Linked DNA regions of Pelodiscus sinensis. The protein of the gene in region 1 interacts with the protein of each later gene in a pairwise test. Links are inferred from orthologs where the notes say so. Each region holds a gene or a part of one and is shown in the gene's direction. Other genes may lie near its edges.

The links.
Region 2: the proteins of VIM (region 1) and PPL interact in binary tests that used the Homo sapiens proteins (3 or more experiments, as listed by UniProt). The link is inferred for Pelodiscus sinensis from reciprocal best matches to the Homo sapiens genes VIM and PPL.
Region 3: the proteins of VIM (region 1) and SIRT6 interact in a two-hybrid assay, tested with the Homo sapiens proteins (2 studies listed by BioGRID and IntAct). The link is inferred for Pelodiscus sinensis from reciprocal best matches to the Homo sapiens genes VIM and SIRT6.
Region 4: the proteins of VIM (region 1) and YAE1 interact in a two-hybrid assay, tested with the Homo sapiens proteins (2 studies listed by BioGRID and IntAct). The link is inferred for Pelodiscus sinensis from reciprocal best matches to the Homo sapiens genes VIM and YAE1.

The regions. Positions count from the first base shown.
Region 1 is NC_134712.1:218,778,055-218,785,741, forward strand, and holds the start of VIM (vimentin), read left to right. Parts: upstream 1-4,668; 5' UTR 4,669-4,752; coding exon 4,753-5,297; intron 5,298-6,190; coding exon 6,191-6,251; intron 6,252-7,687. UniProt on the Homo sapiens protein: Vimentins are class-III intermediate filaments found in various non-epithelial cells, especially mesenchymal cells. Vimentin is attached to the nucleus, endoplasmic reticulum, and mitochondria, either laterally or terminally.
Region 2 is NC_134726.1:5,917,320-5,924,960, reverse strand, and holds the start of PPL (periplakin), read left to right. Parts: upstream 1-4,629; 5' UTR 4,630-4,797; coding exon 4,798-4,859; intron 4,860-7,641. UniProt on the Homo sapiens protein: Component of the cornified envelope of keratinocytes. May link the cornified envelope to desmosomes and intermediate filaments. May act as a localization signal in PKB/AKT-mediated signaling.
Region 3 is NC_134729.1:22,247,247-22,254,551, reverse strand, and holds the start of SIRT6 (NAD-dependent protein deacylase sirtuin-6), read left to right. Parts: upstream 1-4,293; 5' UTR 4,294-4,387; coding exon 4,388-4,453; intron 4,454-5,921; coding exon 5,922-6,049; intron 6,050-7,305. UniProt on the Homo sapiens protein: NAD-dependent protein deacetylase, deacylase and mono-ADP-ribosyltransferase that plays an essential role in DNA damage repair, telomere maintenance, metabolic homeostasis, inflammation, tumorigenesis and aging.
Region 4 is NC_134712.1:166,988,165-166,995,042, reverse strand, and holds the start of YAE1 (protein YAE1 homolog), read left to right. Parts: upstream 1-3,866; 5' UTR 3,867-4,173; intron 4,174-4,194; exon of another isoform or gene 4,195-4,346; intron 4,347-4,365; exon of another isoform or gene 4,366-4,499; intron 4,500-6,779; 5' UTR 6,780-6,850; coding exon 6,851-6,878. UniProt on the Homo sapiens protein: The complex LTO1:YAE1 functions as a target specific adapter that probably recruits apo-ABCE1 to the cytosolic iron-sulfur protein assembly (CIA) complex machinery. May be required for biogenesis of the large ribosomal subunit and initiation of translation.

The DNA.
Region 1 (7,687 bases):
TCCCTCACTTATGTACCACCCATCAAATGACATTAAAGGTTTAATGCCAATCTGATTACCACACTGCCAACTTCTTAACATTTCTTGGAAATTTCACAGCAAAAAGCAACAGAAAGGCTACTGGCCAAGAAGTGCCCCAGTTAGAATGGCACAAACATACCCCTATTAATATTTAAATATTAGGGTTTTCATATTGAATTGATAACACAAACACCCTCAATTTGTGGAGAAATACATGCTGAAAACATGACACTCATGAATATGTAAAGCATAAACAATTAATGTTCTGTTAGTAACAGCAAAGAGCTGACTGGGTGTGGCACATCTTTTTTTTAAAAAGTACTGCTAAATTATCAGTACTTAGCAAGTAAAATATTTTTAATCTATGAGGCTGCTTGTCATGTGCCTTACTTCTCGTTTCTCATGGAGGGAGTGTGTATTCTTGAGCCAGGATGTAAGGAGACTCACAAAGGTTTATAGTAGTCACTTGATGGCTGAAGAAAGAATTCCCAGGAAGCTAGGATGGCACATTTGAGAACAGGAGAGGATGCCAGTACAGTTAGCCCCAGAAATTCTGTGTATGTGTGTGACCCCTGCATCCTATTGAATCAACAAATGAAGTGAACTATAGTGCAAGACTTGGGCTGAAAACATTTCCATAGCTCAAATATGTCAGCACTGCTTGCTTGACAAAGCTGCAATGTAAATAACAAATTAAGGCCTGAAGAAGGGCAGCAGAGAGGTCCAAAACCCCAAAATCGCTTAATTTAGATTTAAACCATATTCCATTACTTGAAGACACTATCCAGAATAAAGATACAGCACCATTTCTTTATAAAACATCTCTTCACAAAATATTTTGCACCATATTCTTCACCATGGGATACAGTTAATTCCACTCATTTGATTGTGCCCTACGATAGGAGACTCGGACACTATACTTTGCAACTTTTTCACTGTTCATCTGTACATTCAAATGCATCAGCATCCAATATAACTATTAGTTTTTAGAGAGTTGTGAGCTAGATGGTGGGAGACTTAAAAATATATAAAAATACAATTGATCAAAAACGTTTTCGTAGCAATTAAAGATAGAAAAGACCTAGAAGGTTTTAGTGGCTCTATCAATGACAAATTTGTTCCCTACAGTGTGTGTGTGTGTGTGTGTGTGTGTGTGTGTGTGTGTGTGTGTGTGTGTGTGTGTGTGTGTGTGTGTGTGTGTGTGTGTGTGTGTGTGTGTGTGTGTGTGTGTGTGTGTGTGTGTGTGTGTGTGTGTGTGTGTGTGTGGATATATATGTGCTTAACCTGTCTAGTTTTAAAGAATTTAAACAATGGGGTTTCCATCATGTTCCTGGGAAGACTTTTCCCCTGGCCAAGGGAGGTGGTGGAATCTCCCTCTCTGGAGATATTTAAGAACAGGTTAGATAGACATCTGTCAGGGATGGTGTAGGTGGAGCTTGGTCCTGCCTTGAGGGCGGGGGGCTGGACTCGATGACCTCTTGAGGTCCCTTCCAGTCCTATTATTCTATGATTCTATGATTCTATGAGTTTTCACCTGATGTTCCACTAAAATTTTTCATTATTTAATATCATTCTGTAACTCCTAGTTTTAACTCCTCATATCTCCTACATAATTTTTCTTCCTGCAGAACAATGTTCCCTCTAAGATTTTTCATCAATGTGCAGAATAAATGTTGTTATATGCACCAAGGCACGTGCAGTTGTGTACCACCAATAGAAACACATGCTGCTGGCTGTGGTCAGCTGTTAGCGCTCTGCCTGTCAGCTGGGCAGCGCCTGAATCTCCCCTGGGTAGCCACCCAAGCGCTCAGCTTACAGGGAACACTGCTGCGGAGAGCCCATCCTTCTAAGGCAAAATTCCCATTGACTACAAATGGGACTTTTGCAGCAATATAACACAGAATCTGATTCCTGTTATTTATACCCTTCAAGTAATGGCTGACAGCTACTACATCTCACTACAGTTGTCGTTAAGCCAGTTTCTCTCTTTAGGCCTGATCCTGTGCCCATTGAAGTCAATGACACTGTTCCCATTCATTTTAATGGTGAAATTATTAAACTGAAGCCTGTTCTCTCATCCAAATCATAGAGGGTTGTGCCAAGAAGCAGGAGCAAGATTGTATGTAATTCAACTATTCTGGTAATATTCTATTCTATCTACTTTAGGGATGTAAAGGGTTGACCTGGTAAACATGTGCTTTACCAGCATGCTTATTGGGGTAACCAGTTAACCAGTGGGAGGTTCTTCCAGCCGGGTTTGGCCCATCCAGAGCAGATCCCCTGCTCACAGTGAGGTGTGGTGGAATCGTCCTGACCTGGCCAGAGCAGCCCCCTGGAACGAGGTGTACAGATAGTGCGGAATGGCTTGCTAGTTTGAACTATCTAGCCCGTGTCGCGTGTAGCCGCGCGGCACGGGGTTCGAACAAGCCGGCATTTAAAAATGGCGCCAGCCGGCTTATGCAAATGAAGCCCGGGAAATTCAAATCCCGGGCTTCATTTGCAAGTGCGGTATGCCTACATTACCCCGCTAGTTCAAACTAGCGGGGTAGTGTAGACATACCCTATTTTTCAGTATTTGTTTCATGTTTGATAGCCCTTCACATAGAGTAAGTGTGACTTTGTTTTAGCTGATGTGCAGGAGGAATCAGCACAGGGATTCTCTTCCCTGCTTAAGTGCAGCCACCAGAGACTCTGGGGCTGTGTCTAAACTGGTAAGTTTTTCCTCAAAATCATCTGCTTTTGCAGAAAAACTTGCCAGCTGTCTACACTGGCCACTTGTATTTCCGCAAAAGCACTGACGATCTCATGTAAGATTGTCAGTGCTTTTGTGGAAATACTGTGCTGCTCCTGTTCGGGCAAAAATCTTTTTCTGAAAGACTTTTGCACAAAAGGGCCAGTGTAGACAGCTCAGATTTCTTTTCCGCAAAAAATCCCCGATCGTGAAAATGGCGATCGGGGCTTTTTTGTGGAAAAGCGCGTCTAGATTGGCCACGGACGCTTTTCCGCAAAAAAGTGCTTTTGCGGAAAAGCGTCCTGCCAATATAGACGCGCTTTTCCGAAAATGCTTTCAATGGAAAACTTTTCCGTTAAAAGCATTTCCGGAAAATCATGCCAGCGTAGACGTAGCCTGGGTGCCTGTGCCAGACCAGTCATTCTTTCTCCCCAATTTGGATCACCACAAGCAGTAGCTCAGCTTATGCACAAGCTTGGTGAGAGCAAAGAGGCCTGTGAACACCACAAGCTAACTGAGAACACACCCAGAATGAGCACAGCCAGTATGGGGCATGTCTCAGACATCAGCACTCGGTTTGGCATTTGCTTAGTTCACTCCCCTCTGCACACGCAACTGGTATGGCACAGCATGCATCATGACTCCCAGAGAAAGGGAGTCTGCTTTCCTCCTTAAACCCTAGCCATGCTCCATCTTGCACTTGCCCCGAACCTGGCCTCCCTGTCTGGGCATGAGACCCTCAGCTTTGTAAAGCACATAGATACCCCTCCCCACAGTATGAGAGCCAAGGCAGAGAGTCTAGATGCTATCCACAGGGCAAGGAAAAGGCATGCAAAATGTTCTGGCCCCTTTTCTCTAGTCCCCTCCTCAGTGACTCCTTCCATGTCTGAATCTTCTATTTCACCCTCTCATCCCCTCCTCTCCTTTGCCTAATCCTCCCTGCCTCTTGCTTACCCTCCTCTGTTCTCCCACCCTGCCACCTAAGTCCCTACTGACTCTGCCTCTTACTGACAGGGTTGCCAACTCTCCGGGAGACTCCCAGAATGGGTACCCATCTCCTGGTGACTATTGAACCATAGAGTAGATTTTCATAGGGGCTGCGTCTAGACTAGCAAGTTTTTCCGCAAAAGCAATTGCTTTTGCGGAAAAACTTGCCAGCTGTCTACACTGGCTGCTTGAATTTCCGCAAGAACACTGATGATCTCATGTAAGAAATCAGTGCTTCTTGCGGAAATACTATGCTGCTCCCATTCGGGCAAAAGTTCTTTTGTGCAAAGCTTTTGCCCAAAAGGGCCAGTGTAGACAGCTCAGATTTGTTTTGCGCAGAAAAGCCCCGATTGCGAAAATGGCGATCGGGGTTTTTTTGCGCAAAAGCGCGTCTCAATTGGCACGGATGCTTTTCCGCAAAAAGTGCTTTTGCGGAAAAGCATCCGTGCCAATCTAGACACTCTTTTCCGCAAATGCTTGTAACGGAAAACTTTTCCGTTAAAAGCATTTGCGGAAAATCATGCCAGTCTAGGGTGGTTTAAGAAAGCCAGGTTACTTCATATGGGGGGGGAGGAACAAGTCTAGGAGTAGCTTCAGTCAAGAGTTGGCAACCCGACTTACTGACCCTTCCCCCACACCATGCCTCCTACAGACCCCCATCTGTTCTTTGTGCCCTCCCCGCCCCCGCCTCCCCCAGCCTCCCGCCCTGACCCCTCATTCCGAGCCACTGGCCCCCACTGCAGAGCGCCCCGGCCCGCCCGCAGCCTTTGTGAGCAAGTCGGGCAGGGAGTGGAGGGAGGGACCCCGGCGTCCCGGCCCGGCCCCGCCCGGCGCGGGGGAGGGGGCTCTGTGCCGGGCGGGGCAGGGCTGGCTGGCGGCAGAGCGGGCCGAGCTCGGGGCGTGGCGGGGGTATAAATACCGCCGCGGGCAGACGCTGCCGCTCTCCTTCGCCTGTCGCTCTCGCAGCCGGACCCTGCACGCCTGGGATTACAAAGCTCCGGCCGGCCGCCGCCATGAGCACTACCAAGACCTCCTCGTACCGCAGGATGTTCGGGGGCGGCAGCCGCCCCAGCACCTCGGGCAGCCGCTACGTCGTCTCCTCCAGCCGCTACTCGCTGGGCAGCGCCATCCGCCCCAGCAGCAGCCGCATGGTCTCCTCCTCGCCCGGCGGCCTCTATGCCACCAAGTCCTCGGCCCTGCGGCTGCGGAGCAGCCTGCCCCCCTCGCGGCTCCTGCACGACACCGTGGACTTCTCGCTGGCCGATGCCATCAACACGGAGTTCAAGGCCAACCGCACCAACGAGAAGGTGGAGCTGCAGGAGCTGAACGACCGCTTCGCCAACTACATCGACAAGGTGCGCTTCCTCGAGCAGCAGAACAAGATCCTGCTGGCCGAGCTGGAGCAGCTGAAGGGCAAGGGCACCTCCCGCCTGGGGGACCTCTACGAGGAGGAGATGCGGGAGCTCCGCCGGCAGGTGGACCAGCTCACCAACGACAAAGCCAGGGTGGAGGTGGAGAGGGACAACCTGGCCGACGATATCCTCAGGCTGCGGGAGAAGTGAGTGCCACGGGGCGGATGGGTGGGGAGGGGGCGCCCAACCTCGCTACTTCCACCCAAGAGCTGGGGGGAGGGTCGAAGATGCAGTCGGTACCCTCAAAGTGTGAGAAACTTCCTCCCCTGCGCCTGAGAACAGCTGGAAGCTGTTCTGAGGCTTCAGCATCAGGGAGGTGGCGGGAGCGCACAGATCCAACCCACATGGTTAACTAACGGTTTGGGCACGCCTGAGCTAATTTACCACCGTGAGCCAAAACAAGGCTGATGTGTATTAGTCACGGGCTCTTCTAGTACAGATTAAAGTTCAGGGAGCAGGATTTCGTGGAAAACCATCACGAGTGGTTACCATCGTCTGAGAATCCCAAAGTTCAGTCTGATATTTTAAGACCATGCAGTCAAAAAAATTACAAAAGTTAGCTTTGCCACTCATCTGAGCCCTTAAACTTAATTGTGTTGCTCGGAGACTCTTACAAGTTTTTGGTGGCTTTACACACCAAAGTTTTGAAAGTCAATCAGCTTCTTTAAATATTGCTGCCTAACAGAATTTGAATTTACCAAAAGAGGGTTTAAAATCAACCCAAATCTAGGTCAGCCTCTTGTTGCTCATTAGCTGAATAAGCATTAACGGTTTTGGCACTGCTTGTGTTAGGCTGTCTGTGGATTTCAGACTGCTGCAACAGCAGAAAGCTGCAAAGCCCAGTCATGCAAACTTAATAAAGAAGGCACAGACCAGAAAAATGTCAGAATGAGATGCCTTTTCTGAGAGGCCCCATCTTCCCCCTCTGGGATGTTGGCTGGGTGTGGCTACCAGCTGGATTTTACCAGATCCTAGTGCTGAGGTTCTCTTCTCTCCTGCCCCCCACCAAAGTTAATAATCTATATGGTACTATTTTCAGGTTGCAAGATGAGATGATTCAGCGAGAAGAAGCTGAAAACACTCTGCAATCTTTCAGACAGGTTTGTAGTAATTTTTGTATATTAAAATGAGTGCACTGAATGTAAATTCAAATGTGTAACATTGATATAATGTTGGATGTAGGGCCACCTAGTGGTAAAAAGCAACTTGTAAAATTGCAAGACTTCTCTCAGTACCTCCAGGAAGTTTATCAAGGGATCTGCCATTCCTTTAGTCTAGACAATGCTAAAATTAGAAACAGTTAAGTTTTAAAGTAGCTAGAACATATAGCAGGTCTGATTTTTGAACAAATTTGCAATGAACAAATTGAAATAGAAATGTTGTCTTGTATGAATAGGGATAATGTCTGACCCATCATGTGAAACCTTAGCAGCAAATATGCAAGATTTGAGGGGCTGGCTTTTTAGTCAACGTGCAAGTTCACATGTAATAACTACTTGTTTTTCGGTGGGGTGGGGGTGATGCCTACATGGGCAAGGGAACTGCTATTGTTGGCTTTGTCCAAGACTAGCCAATTCTACAAAAGCACTCCAATGTAGAATCACTTTCTGATCCAATAAGGGTGAAAGGGAGCCATCTGCTCGCTTGGCTGAAGGGTATTAATGGTTTCTATGGGATTCACTATGGAATGCAGATACAGGCATTATGGCAAGTGTGGTGGCAGCAGATTGAAATAATAGAACTCTTTGTATTGAAGAGTGGCTTGCTGTAGGCTGCATTCTTACTGAATGTGTAATGATGTAAGCGTAGTTAAAGTTTTATAACACCAGTTATTTTAGATATGGCCCGTCTTGATTCAAAATACCTACTACAGGAAGAACTTGCCTCAACATATGAGAATTTTTTCATATTAAGGTTTTTCTACTTACAAGTCAGATAATGCTGTCTTTCTTGCTGTGCCCACATTTTAGAGGGAGGTCATGACCAGGGATACTAGTTTTCCATGATAAACCCAAAATTCTGACTAAAACCATGAATCTGCAATTAAAATGAGATGCTAGCCTTTGGTTTTCCTAGCCACTATATACATCCATTGAACACAAATTATGATTGAATTCTGAGTTTGAAAACTGAGTGCCTGCTATAAATAATAGAAAGTTAATAGAATTCCAAATTTTTTCTTGAACATGCTGATACATGTGTACTTGATATAATAAAGCTTATCCAAGCTTCTATTATCCCGTTTACCATCTTAACCAAATTACCAGCAGCCTGAAGCCAATTGTCTGAGCCCTCATCTTAAAATAGCAATATTCTTTGCCAATTCTTCTAATATATCCACATTTTTGATTTTCTGATCTGCCCCAAACCCCAATTACATTAAGTAGGGTTTCACAGTGTGATTTACATTCTGTCAAACACTACTAATGATTCTAACTCCCTTATCTGTGCCTCAGTTTACACATTTTACAGCTGTGGGGAATAACTTTGTTGGTAAAGTTATTTGAGAACTACTGTGTAAACGCTACCAGAAGTG
Region 2 (7,641 bases), on another chromosome or scaffold:
GAACACGGTCCCTTGGACCACTTCAGTGTCTCTGCCTCCTCTTGATCTCACTGCCCTTTGACCGCAGCTGGAGAAGTCCCAACGGCCTTGGAAACCTCGCACCACGCTGGTGGCAGAGAGCTCACGAGCAGCAGGTGGAGGGACAAACTGTGCCCTCTGTGCGGGGGTCGGAAAGGCAGCAAGCGGAGGCCATAGATAGAGATTTAAGAGGGCGGGGATGATGGGTTGAAGCAGGATCCCTCAGAGGACTGGGTATAACACCCCCCATTTAGAATAAAAATCCATGCTGGTGGCCTTGAAGGTAAATCTGCAGCCACAGCCAGCACGGAGCCAGCGTTGTCCCTGCTGAAATGAGGCTGTAAGAGCTCAGTTCCTAAGACCCGCGTGCTTCATTTGTCAGTGGTGAGAGCCAGCAATGGAAATAAGCGAAGTGAACACAGATGGCCAGCGTGGGGCAGGCATTGCCGTGTATGTTCGTACAGCCCCTAGCACAGCAGGGCCTCGTCTTCGCTGAGGTAAATCCTACAGCTCCTGCAATGACGGCTGCAGAGCTTCACTGACTCACGCCAGCGCAGGGATGCCCCTCGGTGCCCAGAGGGATTCACGTGGACGATCCGGACTGAGAAACCGACACCTCCGGGTTGCCCAGCTCCAAGGAGGGGAGCGAATGGCCAGGCTGGAAAGCGGAACCTCAGCACCCGGGGGATTGTGGAGCCGGTGCCGGAGGGATGGGTTTGCAAAGGGGCTATGAGGTTTTCCTGAGCGTCCAGGACTGAACGTTCGGAGCAGATTCTGATCTCATTGACACCACTGCAGAGCCAGCTCCTTTCTCGGCATCCCTTGTGGCTTGGGTCTAGTTTCCTCCTGTCCCCTCCCCTCCCCTCCCCGGAATCATTTCTTTCCTTTCCACCCCCATCCCTAGAGTGGCAGCACCTCCTGCTATTTGTCCTGCTCCCCTCAGGTGGGCGAGCAACGTCACCTCCCGCTAGCACCTCAAATCCCCCCTTTCACTGCAAAATGCTGGCTAATGAAATGCTCTCTCCCCAGCTAGCCACAGCTGCAAGCTGCACTGTGTCACTGACAGCCCGGGGGGGATGGGAGAGGGACAGCGCAGGCTGGGGTGCTGGGAAGGACCTGGATCAGGAACCCCGAGCAGCAGCTCTGGGGGCAGTAAACCAGCGTGTGGCACGCTCATTTCGCTGCTCGGTATTGCAGCTGCTGCTGTTTATTTACTGAGCACAGGCCCGCTGAGAGGGGGACAAAGGGGACAATTGCCCAAGGGCCCAGTGATTCCAAGGGGCCTAGCACTGTTCTTATTGCCACAGCCCTAGACCCTTTAAATCACTGCCGGAGTGCTGCACCACACGCTCCGGGCGGCTCAGAGGTCTGCAGGAGGGAGGGGACGCCTATGGTCCAGGTGGCACTGAGGGCTAGTTGCTCCAGCCCCTCCCCTTCTGCCCAAGGCCCCGCCCCTTCTGAGAGCACAGAGCTGGCCCCTGTGTGGGGGCCATGGAGGCTGTGGGCTCCCCGACTGAGCAGTAGGGGTCAATGCTGTGTCTTACGGGGGAAAGATGGGAAGGCAGATCCTTGGCTGGTGTAAATTGTCCTAGGCCCCAAGGCGCAGCATTTACTCTGCTCTAATGAGAAACACAGCATTACTAACGCATTGGCAAGGGACCTGCCTTCCCCCTCTCCCACGGACTGCCTGGCAGGCCACGGACAAGGGACTTAGGCCCAGCTCCTCCCAGGTTCGTCGGTCCCTAACTTCCACTGAAAGCAGCCAAAGACTTGGAGGCTTGGGCCAATTTTTGCTCAGTGATTCAGCTGAGATTTTCACAGCAGACTTCAGGGTTTGGACACATCTCCTTCACCTGCCCTTTTCCTGGTCATGCCTCCTGCAGATCCTGGGCCCCTGGAGGCCGCTCTGGGGTCCGGAGAAGAAGGGGAAATGGTGCAATGGAGTTAGTTGATGCTCTCTTGCATGTGTGCAGAGAGACAGGCGGGCCAGTGATAGGGCACTAGCCAAGGACTTGGGAGGAAGGGGTTGAGTCCTTGCTCCGCCACAGACTTGCTGTGTCCTTGGGCAAGTCACCTAGTCTCCATGTGCCTCAGCTGCAAAGCTGGACTATGCAGCTAATAGTGCTGGGAGGAGGGATACATGAAAGACCAGGAAGCGCAATGGTGTAATAGACGGCTCAGAGACTCCCCTCAGTGCACAGCTCCACACCTTGCACATGGAAAGGGCAGCCATGGGACAGCCTTAGGCTGCATTTTTCCAGCACTGGGCACCGCAGGGACTGCGTGCCAAGGTTACGCACGTTCCATCAGCCACTGGATTAGGGATCAGCTGTGGGTTTCAGGCTCACAGCCAAGCTGGGTTTAAATCATTAATTAACAGAAGTGTTAAAAGAGACCATTGCTACAGCATAGAGTCACCTGTCAGCACATCCAGGAAGAACCCCAGGGCTCTCTTAACAGGATGAGAATTAAATTCAAATCAACAGGCAGCCCTTTGGAGCTCATGTTTCCCTGCAGAGAAATGAGCTGATAGCTAAACAACCCAGCCTCCTTTTGCCTGGCAAAGTCATTCATTATCCCCTTTCTCCCTGCGCTGACATACTCCAGCAACAGACAGAGGCGGGGAGAATGCCTGGGCTGCCTTCCGCAGCTCTCTGCTGTAGATGATTGGCAAGGCTGGGGAAAAGGAGCGGACTCTTTCTGCTCTTAGAAGACTCCCCTGGAAAGTTTGATGAGGAATTTGACACTAGGGCTGGGGCCGGGACCGTGAGCTTCTACAATGAACGAGAATTGGGCCCTTTACGTACACGTCTACATGGCAAAACCCCCAGAAAAACAAAGCCACTGTGGCAAGTCTCAAGCTATGGTGCTAAAAATAGCCATGTAGATGTTCCAGCTCAAACTGGAACCCACCCTTGAATGCCTACACGGCTGGTTCTGGTGCTGTCTTGTAAGCCCCACAAGCCCGAGTCTGTAGAACCGAGCTCTGAGCTCACTGCCGTGAGGTTTTGGGGGTGTCATTATACTTTATGATCCCTCGCAGTTGCCCCCATCCACAACCAGGCCATGAGGAACAGACCGGGTAAGGACAGATTCTCAGCCACTCTGCTCCTGGTGGGTGTCCAACTTGCCCCCACATTGGCCTGATCTTCAGAGGAACTAAGCGCCCGCAACTCCAGCTGGACTCAGTGTGCCGTGCCTGCTGTGCCTCTCCGAAGCTGCCTCTGCCCGTGTCTCACGCCCAAGCACAGAGGCAGCTGAAGACCCCTCGCCTCTTTGGAAAAATGTCTCCATTGCCGATTTGCCCTGTTACACTCTGCCTCAAAGGAGCGATAGCACCCAAAGCAAGCCCTGTGCCTTGCTCTAACCACTCACCTGCTCTGCCTTCAAGCAAACCGCCCTGACCGGTTTGAACACTTGCATCCTACACAGCGCCCAAGGAACAGACCTAATTCTGAGCTCCTGCTCACTGGGGCATGCCGGATGAACAGCCCTGATTTCAGAGGTGTTACAGCGTACAGGATCAGTCGGCCGAATCCTGCACTGACCTGCCCTCAGGACATAACTAGCGCTGGATTCGGCCCTGGTGAGGGCTACACAATTCTGTAGCCATGTGTTTAGTCTCACATGGCCACAAAGCCCAAACAAAAGAGTTGCTCCTAATTGCTCAATTATATACATGCCACATTGTGTGGAAGCACGACCCGGTGATCAGTTTCCCCATTTTTCGGTTGCCCTGTTAGAGCTTAAAAACAACAATGATCCTGTAGTACCTTAGGGCATGTCTACACAGCAGCGTTATTTCGGAATCACTGAGGTGATTCCGAAATAACATAATCTGCGTCTATACAACAGGCAGTTATTTCGACATCACGTGGAAATAATGTCTTACTCCGACTCCTGTAACCCTCATTTTACACGGTGTAAGGAAAGTCAGAGGAAGAGTGCTCTAACTGCTGTGTAGACCTGCCCTTTGAGACTAACAAAAATATATAGATCGTATCATAAGCTTTCATGGGCACATTTTGACATTTCCTTTTCTTTTAAGGCTTTAAAAAACTCCGCATCGGAGTGAAGTGTTTCGTTTTGGGTTGAGTGAAAGATTGCAGTCAACCGGTAACTTGTTAAGAAATGAGAACGGCCACACTGGGTCAGGCGCATCCTGTCTTCCGATGGTGGCCAGTGCCATGTGTCCCAGAGGGAATGAACAGCGATAGGGAATCATCACGTGATCCCACCCCTGTCAGCCCTTCCCAGCTCCCGGCAAACAGAGCTTATTTTCCCAGTTTTGCAGGGTGCCCCAGGAACGGAAAAATAATCAGATACACGACTGTAATGTGCACATTCGGCTGGACAGTCGCTCCCTGCCTCTGGTAACAGGCTGGAATGCTTCCCTCCTGTGAGGGGCTGAAGTAAGCCCCAGCTGTCCCTCGCACAGCGCACACACGCAGAGCCTGATACTGCTCGTGGTCCCTTGGAGTAACCTCTGTGCTGCTCCCAGCGAAAGCAGGCTGGGGAGGTGCGTGTAGCTCCGCCTGTGTCAGTGACATGTGCCGTAGGTAAGCACCACCTTCTCTGGGAGAGCCCTACCCCGCTCAGTGGGAGAACTCACACCCCTGGAGCAGGCACAGAGAGCAGGGCTGGAGGCGGCTGCCGGTTTCCCTGTCCCTTCCTTCCCCAGACGAGCACTGTACCTGCAGGATCTAGCAGCAGCCTCCTTTCGCCAGCTGGCAGCCAGCCCTTTGCATTCAGGCAGCTGCTAGCACCAGGGAAATCACCATGAACTCTCTCTTCAGGAAAAGAAATAAAGGGAAATACAGCCCCACGGTGCAGAAGAAGAGGTGAGTACTCCGGCTTCCTTCCTACGGGGCTCTTGGCATTGCCAGCCTGCAAGACTCAGGCTCTCCCAGAGCTGGGTAACCACACATTCCTAAGTGGCAGAGAAACAAGGAGCAAAGGGATCCTTGGAGAAAGCAGAACAGAGCCACTCTGTTGTCAGGCGTCAGAGTAGAGGCCGGAGACAGGTGCTAGCAGGACATGAGAGGTGCCAAGGACACAGGCACGCAGCAGCGAGCAAGCAGCTTTCCGGAGGCTGCACCGGGCTAGGACAGGCGAACGGGTGCTGCTGTTTCCTTTGGCTTCCTGGCTTTGAAAAATTGTGCAGGTCGGGGTTGTTGGCACATTCCAGAGTGTAATCTCTCCGGGGAGCGGCCGCACGGCTCGGCCTCCCCGTCCCCTTCCTCCGCGCAGCGCTGCTATGCGCCTTATTTACTCCCCCTCCACAGGGCAAACGCCAAGGCAGCAGAACATGTCTCGATGCGTCCTCATTTACACAGCAAGCCCCGCTGATTTGATAAACAAGCATTAATGTATTCCATGCACAGGGGACCAGAGCCAAAGGGAGACGCCCACCGGGGCGCTGGGCCAGCTCTGGCCAGCGGGCGAGGGAAATCAAGAGGCAGGGCCGGTCGAACGCTGCACGGGGCTACCGGGGCAAGTGCTGCAAATGTGAGGTGGTCCCCAGAGGGAAGTTTTGAGGGCCCAATCCTGAGAGGGGCTGAGTGCCTTCAAGCTCCCATTGATTTCAATAGGAGCTGAAGGGATCAGACCCTAAGCCCTTGGCAATGCGCCTGACTAGCAGCATCTATTAGCAATGAACTGTGTCTGTTAGGACGTACTGGGACCCTGTGGTAAACAGGCCTGTGGAGGGGGCATCCAGTCACTATGGGGCAGGTGATTGTCCAATAGGAGTGCTAAGGGCCAGCAAGGGTAGAGAGCCAACCTGTTGCTGCCACCCAGGGATGGGCCCAGCTGGGCTAGTGATGGAGACGGTTTCTTCAGGAGAACAGATGGCACAAAGCCCCAGCCACACCAGCTTGCTGGACTGGATCTGAGGCTCTTTCCTCCGTGAGGTCTTGTTAGCTAATCTTTCCCAGTCTCCTTTGGGGGAGTTTCTCAGCCCACGTGCCGGGATTCCCAGCAGGTCCAGAGTTTATCCCATCCCCTGTGATGATCAGGCCCTCTACCGCAGGGCAAGCCTCTTTCGGAATGTTGATTTTGGGGCAACAGATGAATGACATCTGCCAGGACTTAACCCCACCTCCGCTCTATTACTCCTTCCCCAACTAGGATCCCCCACCCAACATTCCCTGTTGCAGGATGCCTGACACTCTCCACAATCAGCCCCACCTTCTGCTCCCACCTCCAGGACTTTCTCCTCCCTCACTGTCCCCCTCTTTGCTAACAACGCTCACTCTCCTTTCTCCTTACATTCTCTCTCCGACCTCCTGCTCCTCCAGGAGCTCAGGGGAGCCTCTTTTCTCCCCCCACCACCTGCATCCCTGGGCACGCTCAGAGTTTCCACGCATTCGGCAGATGCCATTCTTGGTTACAAACCCCCCGAGTAAACTGAAAGTGAAGTTGGCCCGATTCCTCGGCAAAGCTGAGTGGAAACTCTTTTGCTGTGTTCAGAAAAGTGACTGTTCTTGGAATTGTTAAGGGTTCCCCTGATACCCTCCTTTTATGGAACGCTGGTGAGGTCCAGCAAGCGCGGCGTCTGCATGGGTGGGTTGCTTTTTTAAAGGGTCTGTTCTGGAGAGGCATCTAGGGTGGAGACTTGGAACAGCCCTCTGTGTTTGTGTTATACTCAGCCTCGTTCATTAACTCAAACACACCCACTTCAAGAGGAATGGGAAGGAACCAGCTGGAAAACGCATTCTTGGCTGCATGAGTTACACCTCACCCCCGGAGGTACCTAAAGGCCATGGCTCACCAGGTGCTAAGTTATAATATTAATTAATATAATATAATATAAAAGGAATCAAGACAGAGTCAAGCAAGAAAATGGAGTGCGAGGGGTTAATATTTCCAACAGGCATGGGGGGGGGGGTGTTACACCAGCAAACATGAATTGCAGGTGCAAACAGAGTACTTGCACCTCTCGTGATCCCGATTTGCCTACACATGCGGGTAATCAGAGATGGAAAGAACCACATAGCTGAACTGGGGGTCCCCAAACGTGTGTGGAAATGGCACTGAGAAAGTAAGCCCTTGCTTTGTGCTCAAGTGAAAGGCAGCAGCAGAGATTAGCTGATGCAGCTTTGGAAATGTAAATGAAGCACAACCTCTCTCTGCTGGTTTTATTTTTCTCCTGAATTGATGATGGACCTGTAACCCAGACACACTGGCTGGGTGGGGCACACAGTCCCATTTAGTGGCACTGAGTCCACTCCCAGAGAGAAGACAGAGTCTGCTCCACAACCTTAGTGGAGCGCCAGAATCCACTAAGCTCCAGTGGTCCCGGGTTCCATCCCAGCCGCTGACGATTGGGGTGTGCCGGCATGAAGAGCAGCATAGGCCAAGTGGAGAGGATCTCAAGGAGAGAAGTGGACCTGCCTGAGTGGAAGGGACAGGAGATGGACTTGGAGAAAGTGTGTTGTTCTGGGGATGCCAGGATACTAGAGCTCAGGGTCTGTGAGCTAATCAACAATGGCCGTTAAATTCCTCTGGGGCTTTCGTAGGCTGATTGCTACTTCTAAGGTTGAGGAAGGCAAGGTGACATTTTTCCTTTTCTATTGAAATTAACCCTACACTGGGCAAAGTCTGTGCTGTTAGCTCAGTAGT
Region 3 (7,305 bases), on another chromosome or scaffold:
CTGAGTCCTCTGCTTTAAGCACCAGGCAGCACTTTCACTTCCCCATCCCACACTAGACTGTTAAATCTGCGTGGGCCGTGCTTTCTATTGCATCAAGATAACCAGCCAGGACAGGCTCCAACTCAATGCATCATGGCCTATTGGCCTTGCCTCTTTAGCATCACCATCCTCTCTTTCCTAGGGCATGCTGCCTCTTTGCTATTCCCAGTAATGTCCCTTTCAGGATATGTCAAATGGGGACATGAATTGCGGCACAGTCATATCTATGGCTTCATATATTAGACCCAACAGTCACTGAGCTCTGGGAGCAGAAGCTTCCCTCATTTCTGGTCTTAAATACGTGAATCCCGCATTGAGAGGGCTGGACAGAATGGGGTGGCTATTCCCCTAGTCCTGGGGCCTTTCCATCACTCCCTCCCAACCCTCTTCCCTACCTTGCTGATAGAGCCGAGTTCAGCCGGGAGGGCTCCTTCCCTCTGTGCCCAAGGCAGAACAAACTGAGAAGTGTCTCCTTACTGCAGTCTCAATTGAAGGAATCTCACCCTACGATAGGTGGCCCAGTGGGGGCCAGCTGGTGAATCCACCAATGAGGATAGCCAAGGGGTGGGACTTAACTGCGATAGGAATTAAGTTACTCACCTGCTACAGGTACAGTTACCTTGCCAAAGCTGGTCGCTGCTCAGTACGGGAAGGTGACAACTGCACTTGACAGAGCTGAATGTATTTCTCTACATAGGGCCGAACCCTGTTCATCCTGCCTAGCCCAGTTATGTCACCAGTGCTCAGCACAGCTCAGCTCTCCACACACCTGCCTGGCTGCTTGTTTTCAACTATCCTGATCCCCAGTCCCATAATCTCTAGGTCGTAATCACTAAACAATGCTATTAGGGTTGCCAGGTGTCCAGTATTCTACCGGACAGTCCAGTATTTGTGCTCTTTGTCCGGTAAAAAAAAATCAGAGAATACCGGACATGTGCAATGTCCAATACTCTCTGATTTTTCCAGCTGTGCACCAGACAGAAGCCAGGCATGGGCGAGGGGAGGTGGGGTGGCTGGAAGGTGGGGCCATGATCGGCGCTAGGTGCCTGTGAAGGTGGGAAGGTGGGAACCCCCAGCTGGTAGGCGGGGCCACGATCGCTGCTCTGGGCACTTCAGAGGCCTTGCCTCCGCCCCCGCAAGGCTTCTGCGCAATCACAGGCTCCCAGTGCCAATCATGGCCCCGCCTCCCAGCCTGGGAGTGCCAGCTGGGAGGCGGGGTTGTGATCGCCGCTCTGGGCACCGAAGAACGAGGGGGGAGGGGCTTATTATCCCACGTTCCTTTTTTGTTTGTTTGTTTTTTTTTTGCTCGACCAAAAAATTCCACGTATCCGGTATTTTTCGGGAGACCATCTGGCAACCATAAATGCTATGGCCCTTCTTCTGTACTAATGACTATGCAGATGGACCTCAGTACACCCAACACAGAGTTTCTTGCAGGATTGTGGCTCATGTTTTTATTTTATTTTATTTTATTTTATTTTATTTTATTTTATTTTCCTATAACAACTATAGCATGCTGGGCATCTTGTAGCTGGACAAGGAGGTACATTCCCCACCAAACAGGTACAGTAAAAATGTCTCTTGGAAAACATGATGGGAAAAACACACAAGAGCCTAGACTTTATTATAGTGAGACTACATCTACACTCCATCATTCTGTCAGCAGAGGAAATGCAAATGAAGCGCTCATTAGCATTTCTCGTGCTCTGATTTGCATAGTCTCTTCTGATCCTTTTTGTGGAAGAGGTTTTTGTGGAAAAAAACAATGTAGACGAGGCCATTTTGCGAAAAAAAAACCTTTTGTGCAAGATCCCTTCTCTCTCAAAAAAGGAGGTATACTGGATTTTGCACAAAAGGGTTTTTTTTGCACAAAATGGCCCCGTCTACACTGCAGTTTTTTCCACAAAAACCTCTTCGGCAAAAAGGATCGGAAGAGACTATGCAAATGACAGCATGAGAAATGCTAATGAGCGTTTCATTTGCATTTCCTATGCCGACAAAATGCTGCCATGTAGACGTAGCCTGAGGGACCTCTGCGTGTGCTTGCATTGTCCGTGGGAGATGTCTAGAAAGAGTTTGAGAAGGCCAACAGTGATAACCATCTTTGCCCTCACCATATGGTTATTCAGAGAGAACATGAAGGCCATATTTTAGGATCTCAGAAGATACATTTTAGGGTTTTGTAGCTACATTCCACAGGCACCCCTTAAATGCATCCAGTTATCCTACGAGTCCCTTAGGCAGTGAAGCCAATGCTGGAGAATTTATTGCAAATCTTGCTATAGTTGGGGTATTTGATTAAAGGTCTAGAAAACATGAGCTATGAGGGAAAATTGAACGAGTTGGGCTTGTTTAGTTTGGAAAAGAGAAGACTGAGAAGGGACATGATAGTGGTTTTCAGGTATCTAAAAGGATGTCACAGGGAGGAGGGAGAAAAATTGTTCTCCTTGGCCTCTGAAGATAGGAGAAGAAGCAATGGGCTTAAACTGCAGCAAGGAAGATTTAGTTTGGACATTAGGAAAAACTTGCTAACTGTGAGGGTGGTTAAACCCTGCAATAAATTGCCCAGCGAGATTGTGGAATCTCCATCACTGGAGATATTTAAGAGCAGGTTAGACAGACAACTATCAGGTATGATTTAGATCAATGTTTCTCAACCAGTGGTACAAATATGTGTTCATTTTTTTTAACTGTATCCTTTGGTATATATGGTTGTGACTATTTTCTTCCACTATTTGATCTGAGGAAGTGGGTCTAGCCCACGAAAGCTCATCATCTAATAAACCATCTTGTTAGTCTTTAAAGTGCTACATTGTCCTGCATTTTGCTTCAAGTACCCTTAGGGGTACTCGAGAGAAGTCAACACAACTGAAATTTGAAGAAAGCTGATTTTTTTGTTTTAAGTTTTACAGCGCTTTATTATTTTGTACTTTTTACACCCAAAAATGTCATTGCCTGCCTGGCTACGATTAAGTTGTTCAAACAAATGTGTTGCAACGGTGGAAGAAAATTATGTGTGTCTGAAAACTGGAATAGTAATAGAAATGTAGCCATGTTAGCCTGGTGTAGCTGAAGCAAAATACAGGACTATGTAGCACTTTAAAGACTAACAAGATGGTTTATTAGATGATCTTTCGTGGGCCAGACTGAGGAAGTGGGTCTGGCCCACGAAAGCTCATCATCTAATAAACCATCTTGTTAGTCTTTAAAGTGCTACATAGTCCTGAAAACTATAATTTTTTTTTAAAAGGGGTACTTTATAAAAAAAAGTTGAAAACACTTGTTGTATCATGCAAGCAAAGTAGTAACAAACTTCAATAGGCCTTTATGTAACAAAGGTGAAACCTCTTCACAAAGCTGCTGCTGCTCCCCTCTGTAGCTCTCACTCAGGCCTAGCCCATCTCCTCCCCCCTCCTTCCTGTTTCCTGGGCTTCCAGATTCCCAACAGCCAGTGCTCCCAGTTCTAATAATTACAAGCAGCATCTAAAACCCCACAACACTGATCTAGATGACACTTGGCCCCGACATGAGGGCAGGGGACTGGTCCCTTCCACTTCTGGTGTTCTACGGTTCTATGTATCAGAGGGGTAGCCGTGTTAGTCTGAATCTGCAAAAGCGACGAGGAGTCCTGTGGCACCTTATAGACTAACTGAAGTGTAGGAGCATAAGCTTTCGTGGGCAAAGACCCACTTCGTCAGATGCATGTACATGCATCTGACGAAGTGGGTCTTTGCCCACGAAAGCTTATGCTCCTACACTTCAGTTAGTCTATAAGGTGCCACAGGACTCCTCGTCGCTTTTACGGTTCTATGATTTCTTAAAGCCCCAGTTCCCAGAGGCAAGTGTTTGTGTGGGAATCTTTGATTTCATGGTGTGTGTTTTTACATTCTAGCCCTCATGATTAGGGAGGAAAAGCTAGAACATGTGGCCTAGGCGCCTGCCCGGGCCCCAGGTAAAAAACCAGAGTCACAGCAAAATAACCAAAAATGTGTTATTTAAAAAGCGACAGAGCCACCATTCCCCAGCCAGTGAGGCCTGGCTGGTGATCTTTGAACCCTGGGGGCCGGCAGCGCTGCTCAGAGCGGGCCTGTGCCCTAGGGGCGCCCCCCACCGCACCCCCGAGGCCAGGGCACAGCCCATTGCCCGAGGCGCCACGCCTGAGCTCCAGCTGGTGGAGCGAGCGCTTGCCCGGAGCTAATATGGCGCCGGGCGGCGCGCCCCTCCGAGTTCTGCGCATGCGGACTGAGGGGCGGCGGCTTCAGTCGGCCCTGCCCGGCCGTTTCCGCCCTTCGCTGGAGGAATTGACAACAAGGGAAACTTTATTGGTAGCGGCGGGGCCGGCGGGAGGATGTCGGTGAACTACGCGGCCGGGCTCTCCCCCTACTCGGACAAGGGCAAGTGCGGCCTCCCCGAGGTGAGCGCGAAGGAGCAGCCCCCCCCGCCCAGCATCGGGGCCTCCCCCCGGGGCCCTGCGGCCCCCCCCAGCGACACGTCTCCCCCCCCTGGGGTCCTGCGCTCCCCCCCCCAGCGACACGTCTCCCCCCCCTGGGGTCCTGCGCTCCCCCCCCCAGCGACACGTCTCCCCCCCCTGGGGTCCTGCGCTCCCCCCCCAGCGACACGTCTCCCCCCCCTGGGGTCCTGCGCTCCCCCCCCAGCGACACGTCTCCCCCCCCGGGGTCCTGCGCTCCCCCCCCCAGCGACACGTCTCCCCCCCGGGGTCCTGCGCTCCCCCCCCCCCCAGCGACACGTCTCCCCCCCGGGGTCCTGCGCTCCCCCCCCCCCCAGCGACACATCTCCCCCCCGGGGTCCTGCGCTCCCCCCCCCCCAGCGACACGTCTCCCCCCCGGGGTCCTGCGCTCCCCCCCCCCCAGCGACACGTCTCCCCCCCGGGGTCCTGCGCTCTCCCCCAGTGACACGTCTCCCCCCCCTGGCGGGACCTGCGCGCCCCTCCCCCCACCCAGCGCCACGCGCTTCCCCCTCCGCGGGCACCGTGCGTGCCCCTCCCCCCTCGGCCCCTGACAGGGACTCCGCGCCCTCCCCTGGGGGTGTTCCCCTCCCCTCGGGGGCCCGGGGCACCCCTCACATTCCTGGGGCGCTTCCCCCTCCCCTCCACGGGCATCGTGTATGTCCCTCCCCCCGGGGCGCTCCCCTCTCAGCCCCCGACAGGGACCCTGCATGCCCTCCCCTGGGGGTGTTTCCTCTCCCCCCTGGGGCGCTCCCCTCGCCCCCTCCCGACAGGGACCCTGCATGCCCTCCCCTGGGGTGTTTCTCCTTCCTCCCGACGGACCCTGCACCCCCCTCACATTCCTGGGGCGCCTTCCTCTCAACCCCCCAAGAGGGGCCCTGTACGTCCGTCCCTTGGGGTGTTTCCCCTCCTTCCCTTTCAAGGGGGACCCTGCGCTCCTTTCACACACCTCTGGGTGCTTCCCCCTTGTCCTCACCCTCCCAGCTGGAGCCCTGCCTTCCCCTCTCTCCGCCCAGGGTGCTTCCCTTCCCCTGGGGACGGTTCCTCTTCCCTCTCCCCCCACCAACGGGGTCCTATGCACCCCTGCAAGGGAGTTTCCCTTTCCCCTCAAATCCCCCCCCCCCTTTGCCTCTAAGGGACGCTGACTCCTCACCTCCCTGAAGCAGATGTGAGGTTTAAATTGGAACATCCTGAGGCCACTGAGCGGCCAGTGGCAGGCCATGAGTTCTGGCCGCCAGCGCTGCATCTGTGCGACCCAGTTGCTAATGTGCTTTTTTTCTGTGTCAACTTCTAGCCTGTTTTTTGGTGTGCCAGGTAGCTTTGTGGCTTCGGTGAAACTGCTTATCCACCATTCCGCGTGCTGGGCTGGCGGGACGCTTATCCCTGCTTCTCCATTTCAATTTTTCCTTCCCCTCAGATTTTTGACCCGCCAGAGGAGCTGGAGAGGAAAGTGTGTGCCTTAGCAGACTTGATCAGGGGCTCTTCCAATGTAGTATTTCACACAGGAGCCGGGATCAGCACAGCCTCAGGAATCCCTGATTTCAGGTAAGGGCACCGAATGAAGAAATATCCTTAGTCACTGAAGCAGTGTAGTCTAGCAACCAGAGCAAAGACCTGAGTTAAAGCTTGTGGGCTCAGTTCCTGGCTCTGACATTGACTCACGGCAGTCCAGTCACTTTGCCTTTCAGTGCCTCAGTTTCCCCACCCGTAAAAATATGTCTGGTTCCCGGGAGTTTGGCAAAAGCTTAATGTTTATGAAAACACGATGAGAAGTTCTGTGGCACCTTTAAGACTAACAGATTTATTTGGGCATAAACTTTTGTAGGTCAAAACTACTTCGCCAGAAGCATGGATTTATGCCCAAATAAATCTGTTAGTCTTCAAGGTGCCGCAGGACTCCTTGTTGTCCTTACAGATACAGGCTAACATAGCTACTCCTCTGAGACTTGTCACAATGTTTATGAAGTGCTTGGAGATCTGTAGGAGCGCATGTGTTATTTTGCTGGGTTAGTGATGGAATTGGTGGTGAAAATATTTCATTAATGAGCAACAAATAGTTTTCTTATGGTTCCATCCCTGATACTTAGCCAGTTAGCTTACATGTTAAGTGCTGTAAGGAAAATAGTTCATTTATTCAGTGCCATTACTTCTGGAAAACACCTTCTTTTCTAGCCCTCTGGTAAATGGAGGGTAGAGGTTTCCTCTCCTTTCTGATTATAGTCTGCTCTGATTTTTGTCCCAAAGTCAAGAGCTTGCTATTTATTGGCCAAAGTGGGATTTGCTGAGACACTGAACTCGGTGAGATTATTCTCTGGGGCTAGCACCCATGCTTACTTCCAGCAAGCCAAACAATGACAGTCCTTGGTCTCTAGTGTCCTCTTTTTATAGCCTATTTGTCCGTGCTCGTTAATAGTGTAACCACAACTTCAGTAATAATTTCAAAAAGGGGGAAAAAAATGAGGAAGCTAATTGAATGGAAATTAAAAGGTAAAATGCCTTCAAATTGTATGGAGACTATTTAAAACACCATACTAGAGACTCAAACTAAATATATAACCCAAATGAACACAAAACAGTAAGAGGAGTAAAAAAATGACACCTTCCTAAGCAGCAGAGTAAAAGCAGCAGGATGCTAAAAGGCATCCTTTCAAAATTGGAAGTAAAATCCTACTGAGAAACTGAAAGGAGCATAAATTCTGGCAAATCAAGTGTAAACATATAATTAGGCAAACCAAGAAAGAATGTAAAGAGCAATTAGCAAAAGACTCAAAAATTAATTTTTTTAAATACATCAGAAGCAG
Region 4 (6,878 bases), about 52 Mb from region 1:
AATACACATGAGCATGGACTTTAATTTACAGGCACATGACATTCTGATATTTTAATCCAATAGCACCTTCAGTTTGGAATCTCTCTACATCATTAAGGTCACAACACAGTTCCCATTGCAAACCCCTTTTTTCATCTCCTTTATAACATACAGCTAAAGACATTACCATGTGTTAGCTTAACACGAGGCAAACTTAAACATGATTCATACATGAGAAGCAGAAAGAAAAGCAACTAATGAGGGAGTATGAACGTATAAATTAAAGTAATGCCCTTACATACTCTTATTCCTTGCAGCCTTTCTGTGTGTACATAGCCCCAGATTAGATTCCATTGGACCCACTAACCAATAACATCAAGAACTTAACACTTGGCCTCTTAATTTTAGTCATTTAGTGTTATCATTATGGGGCAGTAAACATATTTGCATTTGATAATACAGAATTACTTTGTTCCTCATATGGAAGTTGAGTGACGAATAAACAGTGGTACAAGTATGCCATACTAGCAAAATATTTTTAGCCAGCATAGCAAACCAGAAAGACTCCCTGCTGACCAACCCCGACCCCTCCACTGGCTGTGTGCGTACAATTCTGCAATCTGGGGGGCAGGGCTGAGAATGCTTTGGCAGCCAAAGGAGCTGCCAGCATTCTGCTCCTTCCCCACTGCTCCTCCTGATGTAATTCCGAAATAACATAGTTCGTGCCTACACAGCAGGCAGTTATTTTGACAATGTCAAAATACTGTGAAGCTGGAGGACTTCTTACTACAACTCCGGTAACTCTCATTATACTAGGAATAAGGGAAGTTGGAAGACGAGTGCTCTAACTTGGACTAAGGATTTTAGTCCAAGTATTAAGTATTGGACTAATCGAATAGTCGATGAAAAAATGCATCGACTATTCAATTAGTCAATAGGGCGGCGCTGCCCCTTTGAAACGCTGCTGTGGCATTTCAAACGGGCAGAGCCCAGGGTCAGCTGAGGAGTCCAGATCATTTGTGCGGCACTACCCCAGATTTCCTCCCGTTGTTGCCTCTATCTAATGAAGGCAGCAAGGGGGAGGAAGCGACTAATTGATTATCCTGTTGACTATCTGATAAGCAAATGCAATGACTCTTTAACATCCTTAAATTAGCTTCCTGCCGAAATAAGCTGTTTCAACTTCAGCTACGCAATTGACATAGCTCAAGTTGCGTTGCTTATTCCAGCTTTAGCCCTGTTGTGTTGACATGCCCTACCTGTGTTTAAAATAGACTGGCAAATTTCACTATTTTTTGTGAGATGAAGAAAAGGGGAAAGAACAATTTCCCCTTCATTTTAAAATGTTTGTACTGGGAACATTGGGACGGGAAATGGTAGAAAATTGAGGCAAATAAGGTAAATGCCTAATTTTAGATATTTAATAAAGGAATATAGAAAAGAAAGAGGAAGTAGCTTTTGTTTCCTACTATGACTCACAAAACAAATGGGTCAGCATATGGGTGACCAGAAAGCTAATGTAGGTGAGGCAACAAATACTTACGATGATTCAGAAGGAAACATTGCTCTCTTTGAGTCATTGGTAAATCAAGACCATAGTAAATCAAGATGCATCTGAGGAAGTGGGTCGTTGCCCACAAAAGCTTATGCTCCAATAAATCTGTTAATCTATAAAGTGCCACAGGACTTCTCGTTGTTTTTCCAGATTCGGACTAACACAGCTACCCCTCTGATACTCAAGACCATAGTGTAATGACAAAAGTTAAACACAAAGTTTAAAGAGAAGCTAGATAATTTCATGGAGGTTAGGTCCATAAAAGGCTATTAGCCAGGGGATAGAAATGGTGTCCCTGGCCTGTTTGTTAGAGGCTAGAGATGGATGGCATGAGACAAATCGCTTGATCATTGTATTCGGTCCACCCCCTCTGGGGCACCTGGCGCTGGCCACTGTTGGCAGACAGGCTTCTGGGCTAGATGGACCTTTGTCTGACCCAGTACGGCCGTCCTTATGTTCTAGGGTGATAGACCTGGTGTCCAGGCAAACTTCCAGCTCTAATAACTAAATTCCACATCTCTATAGACTCCTTCTAGTTTCAATGGGATATTTCATTCTAAACTATTGTGAATGGTGCTAGGTGCTATTAAGCAAGGTCATTGTTCACAAAGATGAGTGAAATGTTTCCTAAGTATCCTTTACCTTCCTCACAGAAGTGTTGTGTGGTTTGGTTAGGTTATGTAACATGTTGAGATTCCTGAATAGAAGGCGCTATGGAAAAGTTGGATAATATATGTCATGAGTCCAGGGATTCAATTTTAATCATTTTGTTGGTCAATGTAAGGTGTTGCCTGCTGTGCAAGGAGATGTTGTAATTAAAACCCCATTAGGACTATGACAATCAAATTAACCTGCTGGCTATCTTCCATCCTCCCTGACTGGGCTGGAGAGAAAGGGTCTAGACAATAGGTCACTGAACTACTCAGGCTAGTAGAAAGGTCCATCATCACCAGTGTACAAGAAAAATAAATAGGCTGAGGTTAGAGAGGGAACAAGCTCAGGAGGGAATCACAGGCCTGCACTATACCTAAAACTTGGATCTATCTACCTAAATGCCAAATGGCCAAATAAGCTATTTCAAAAGAGCATCAAAATAAGATATACAACCTGCATAGCTCAAATTGCATATCTTGTTTCAAGTTACGGTGCCGTGTAGACACACCTTACAGCAGCAGGACAAGCCTGTAATGTATATACCAGGGGTGGGCAATAATTTTTTTCCGGGGGACACTTCAGAAATTTTTGAACTAGTCCCAGGCTGCCCCAGAAGGGGTGGGGCCTCTGGCAGAAGGGGCAAGGCCAGGACCCTTCTGAGTTTCCCCACCCACAGACCCTGATGGGTCAGGGGAGGCACGCACACTCTAGGGACCCATGACCCTGGCTGTAGGAGGCAACTTTGCATGCTTCCCCCCACCCCCCAGGAAGTCTCTTGCTCCCTGTCCCAGTCCTGCAAGGGAGTGCAGCAGTTAAGAGTCAACCACCAGCTGAGCAGCAGCTGATGGTTGACTTTAAGTCCTGAGCCCCTTGCAGGGCAGGAGACTTCACTGCTCCCCCACCCCCAAACCTTGATAGGCCTGGAGGTGGGGGGAGCAAGTGAAGTTCCTGCCCCCATCCTGCAAGGTGCATGCAGTACTTAAAAGCTGCACCCCTCGCAGAGTGGAAGGAGACTCCATCTGCTTCCCCCTCTCCCCCAGACCCTGAGTGGCCTGGGGGCAGTGATGAGGGCCTCCACGGCCAGTTCAACTTCCTTGGTGGGCTGAGTCCAGCCTGCAGAGGCCCCTTTGCCTACCCCTTGTATATACTGACACAATTAGGTCAATGTTAAGCTGCTTTTGATCAACCTGAGTAATGCAGACCAGTTCCTGGATAGTCTTCCATTCAACCCCCTTTCTTTTGAAAAAGGATTTCTCCTGCTCTCTGGCTATGATGATTCACGGTTATGCAGAGCGGGGAAAGGCCAGCCAGAGTGTCTCGGTCTGTGCCCAGCCACGCTGATGGGTCATGATCTGTCTGTTCCCGGGTTTGTACAATGGGAAGCGCGGCTGCCCCCTGCCTGGCTGGACTGCGGAGCGGAATGTTGCAGCCCAGACTCTGGGCAGCGCGCGAGAGCTGCGCAAACACGCGCGCGCGTGCGCGCGCTCGCACAGCAACGTCCGGCTCGCAGGGTGAGCGTCCCGCTCGGCCCCTCACGCGCTTGCACGGGAGAGCGGGCCTAGGCGCGTGGGCTGCCAGAACCACCTCGCGCAGCCGCGCTGGGCGCACTCGCGCGCTCACACGGTGCTCATGGCCGTGGGGGGGAGGGGGGGAGTAATTGGGTTTTGGACGCAAAAAGGGCGGGGCGGGGCGAGCGCTCGCTGGCAACGCCCTGTTGTCATAGTTACTTCTCCCCGACACACCCCCAGCCCAGGCTTATCAAAGCCCGTGGGAGGCCGGGGCGCGGGTATCGCAGCCTCAGCCTCGATCTCGGTGCTGAGCAGAAAGGCGACGCCAACGGCCGCGACTTTTAAGCCTCGAGTGCGCCCTTACTAAAGATGGCGGCCGACCCCCCCCCCCCCCCGCCGCCGTTGCCGCAAGCGGGTTGAAGGCAGGCAGCCCTCTCTTAAGATGGCCGCCGTTTCCTTACACCCTCCGCCCATGCGGTGAGTTGGGGGGGGGGGTGTAAAACAGGCCTCCCTTAGCAAAGATGGCTGCTGTTCCCACGAGGCTTCCAAAGGGTGTGAGGGTAGCCTGCCCTGAGTCAAAATGGCCGCGCGCCGTGCTCGAGGTGCGGCGCGAGGAAGGGTAGCTGGCCGCTAGCCCGGCCAGGAAAGCGGTGAGCCGGGGCGGGGGCAGCAGGTTTGAGCGAGGAGGGGCTGGAGGGAGCGAAAGGTCACTTCCGTCGCCTGCCAGGCTGGCTTCTTGCGTTGTCCCAGAAGCAGCCTGGGGATCGGGGCCCTGGACTGGGATTCGTGTTTCTGTCCTTCAGGTGTTGCCCAGGGGTCACGGCTGCTTATTGTTTGGGGTGTCTGGACCCTGTGTCACAGTGCGCTCGGGGGGGGGGGGAGGGGAGGAGTTTGTTTTTGCGCGGCAAGGTCTAATTTTTGCTGATTCGAGAGGGAATGGAATTGTGTCACCCGTCTCTGAGGGGTAGTCGTGTTCCTCTAACACTGGGTAGGTTTGTGGCGCTTTAGTATCTATAGTATCATGAGCTTTCCTGGGCAAAACCCACTTGGTCAGACGGTTCTTGTGACGTAGGGGGGGTACTTGCTGGGCTGTGGTGACCTCTGCTGTCTGGAGCAAGACCCAGCAGGGGAAACCTCACTATGCAAAGGTGATGCCAAACCGGTTGAACCATGGAGAGGAACAAAGGAAGGTGGAGGCTGCCCTGGCTGGGGGGCAGGGCTGGAAGAGAGTGAGTTTAGTTGCTGTCTGGGAGCATGGAGGAGACAGCCTAGGGAAAGGGGCTAGAGTTTAGGGGCCCAGTCTCCCCCCATCTCAAGGGGGCCTGAGGCATCCTAGCCCAGCTCTGGGACCAGATTACATCTGTGCTGTGCTGTATCCTGGAGAGGCAATAAACGTCCTCTATTCCACCGGCTGGTGCAGTCTGTTTGTGCCATTTCGGGGTGCAGGAGACGGGGGACCCCCCCAACGCGCCGTCACAGTTCTTATCTGGCCAAATGGGTTTTCCCAGGAAAGCTCATGATACTATATACATATTTGTGTTAAAGTGCCATGGGACCTACTCGGTTTTGTTGTATCATTAGGTATTTCATAGACACAGTGCTGGGTACAAAGTGATTCTGTTCTAGCCCCAGTTTCCACTATGATTTTCACATTGATTATTCAGTGAATAGTATTGTTTCAAATGTTCTATGCTGCAAATTTAATAAATCAATGGCAAGTAGCATCAGAAGCGCCCCCACATTGGCTGTAGGCACTGTGCACTCCACGTGGACAATTCAAAGGCCTCATGATCCCTCATACAGTCCCTGTGAGCTAAACCATGGGCTCCATGACCAACTTGTGGCATTAGGTGGTCCCTGGGGACTGGCAGTGGGGAAAAACCAGACACAAATATGAGTGTTGGTGCCACCTCTAGAGAATTTTACCATGTGCTATCCTTCTAATTGCTGGTCACCAGATTCCTGAGGCCTGCCTCCCCCTGCCCCTCACCCTGTCCCTGTTGTTCCCACCTCCCCACTCTGCTCTACCTCCACCCTCCCACCCCAAAATGGGCTCCCTCTGCTCTGGAGCCAGGACAGGAGCTGCTGCAATATGACCTGTATTGGACTTATTTTCTTCCTATTTACATGCTCTTTCCATCTGCCCCTGCATATTTTTACTAGCTTTTCCCATTTTGGAAACTGCTGTAAAATTACCCAAGGACCAACAAAAGCAACAGAGGGTTAGCTGAGTTAGTTTGTAACAGGAAAAACTTCTAAAAACAACAAATAGTCTAGTAGCACTTTAAAAACTACATGTTTTGTTAGTCTTTAAAGTGCTACTAGACTATTTAAGTTTTTCCAATAAAAATAAGTCATATAGTAGTAGTGGTTTAATTAAACTGTAATATTTGGTACTCATATATCACCTTCCATTCTGTGATTTGAAAGTGCTTTACAAACATTAATTCCTTACACCCGATAATTAAGTGAGGTGGCAATATATGTATTATCTGTGTTTTCCAAATGAGGAAACTGAGGCATAAATAAATTAAATGAGAGCTTGGAGATGTATGTGACTTTGATCAAGAACCAGGATTCTTGGATCCCCAGTTTTGCTAGTCAACCACTAGACCAGAGGTGGCCAACCTGCGGCTCTTCACCCCTGCAAGTGTGGCTCACAAAGCTGCCCCATGCGCCCCTACAAATGGCCCCCAGCTGCCCAGCCTCATTTTTTGAGGAGTACAGGATCTTTCGAAAAAGGGGGTTTTTTGAAAGAACCAAGTCTAGACGGCGGTGTCACTTTTCGAAAGAACACTATGATGTGATTATGCAAATGAAGCATAGGATATTTAAATCCCCGCTTCATTTGCACTTTCGATCTGCCTAATTTACATCCCTCTTTCAAAAGAGGGATGTAGTTTAGACATAGCCTATATGTGTGTCTCAGTTATTGGAAAAAACAACCAAAAAATTGAGATGGCTGAATTTATGACCTTGTAAGGTTCTATATGAAAAACATAAAACTAGAATCTCTGATTACTGAAGTTACTTTTCCTCAAAACTTGTACTTGTAAAGCCTGTGGTTTTAACTTGATGCTCAGGAGGAAGAACGGCTCAGATTTTCACAGTACTAGTTTGTATCATATATACTGGAATCCTTATTACTGCTGCAATGTCGTGGATGCAAGCTGCAGTCATCC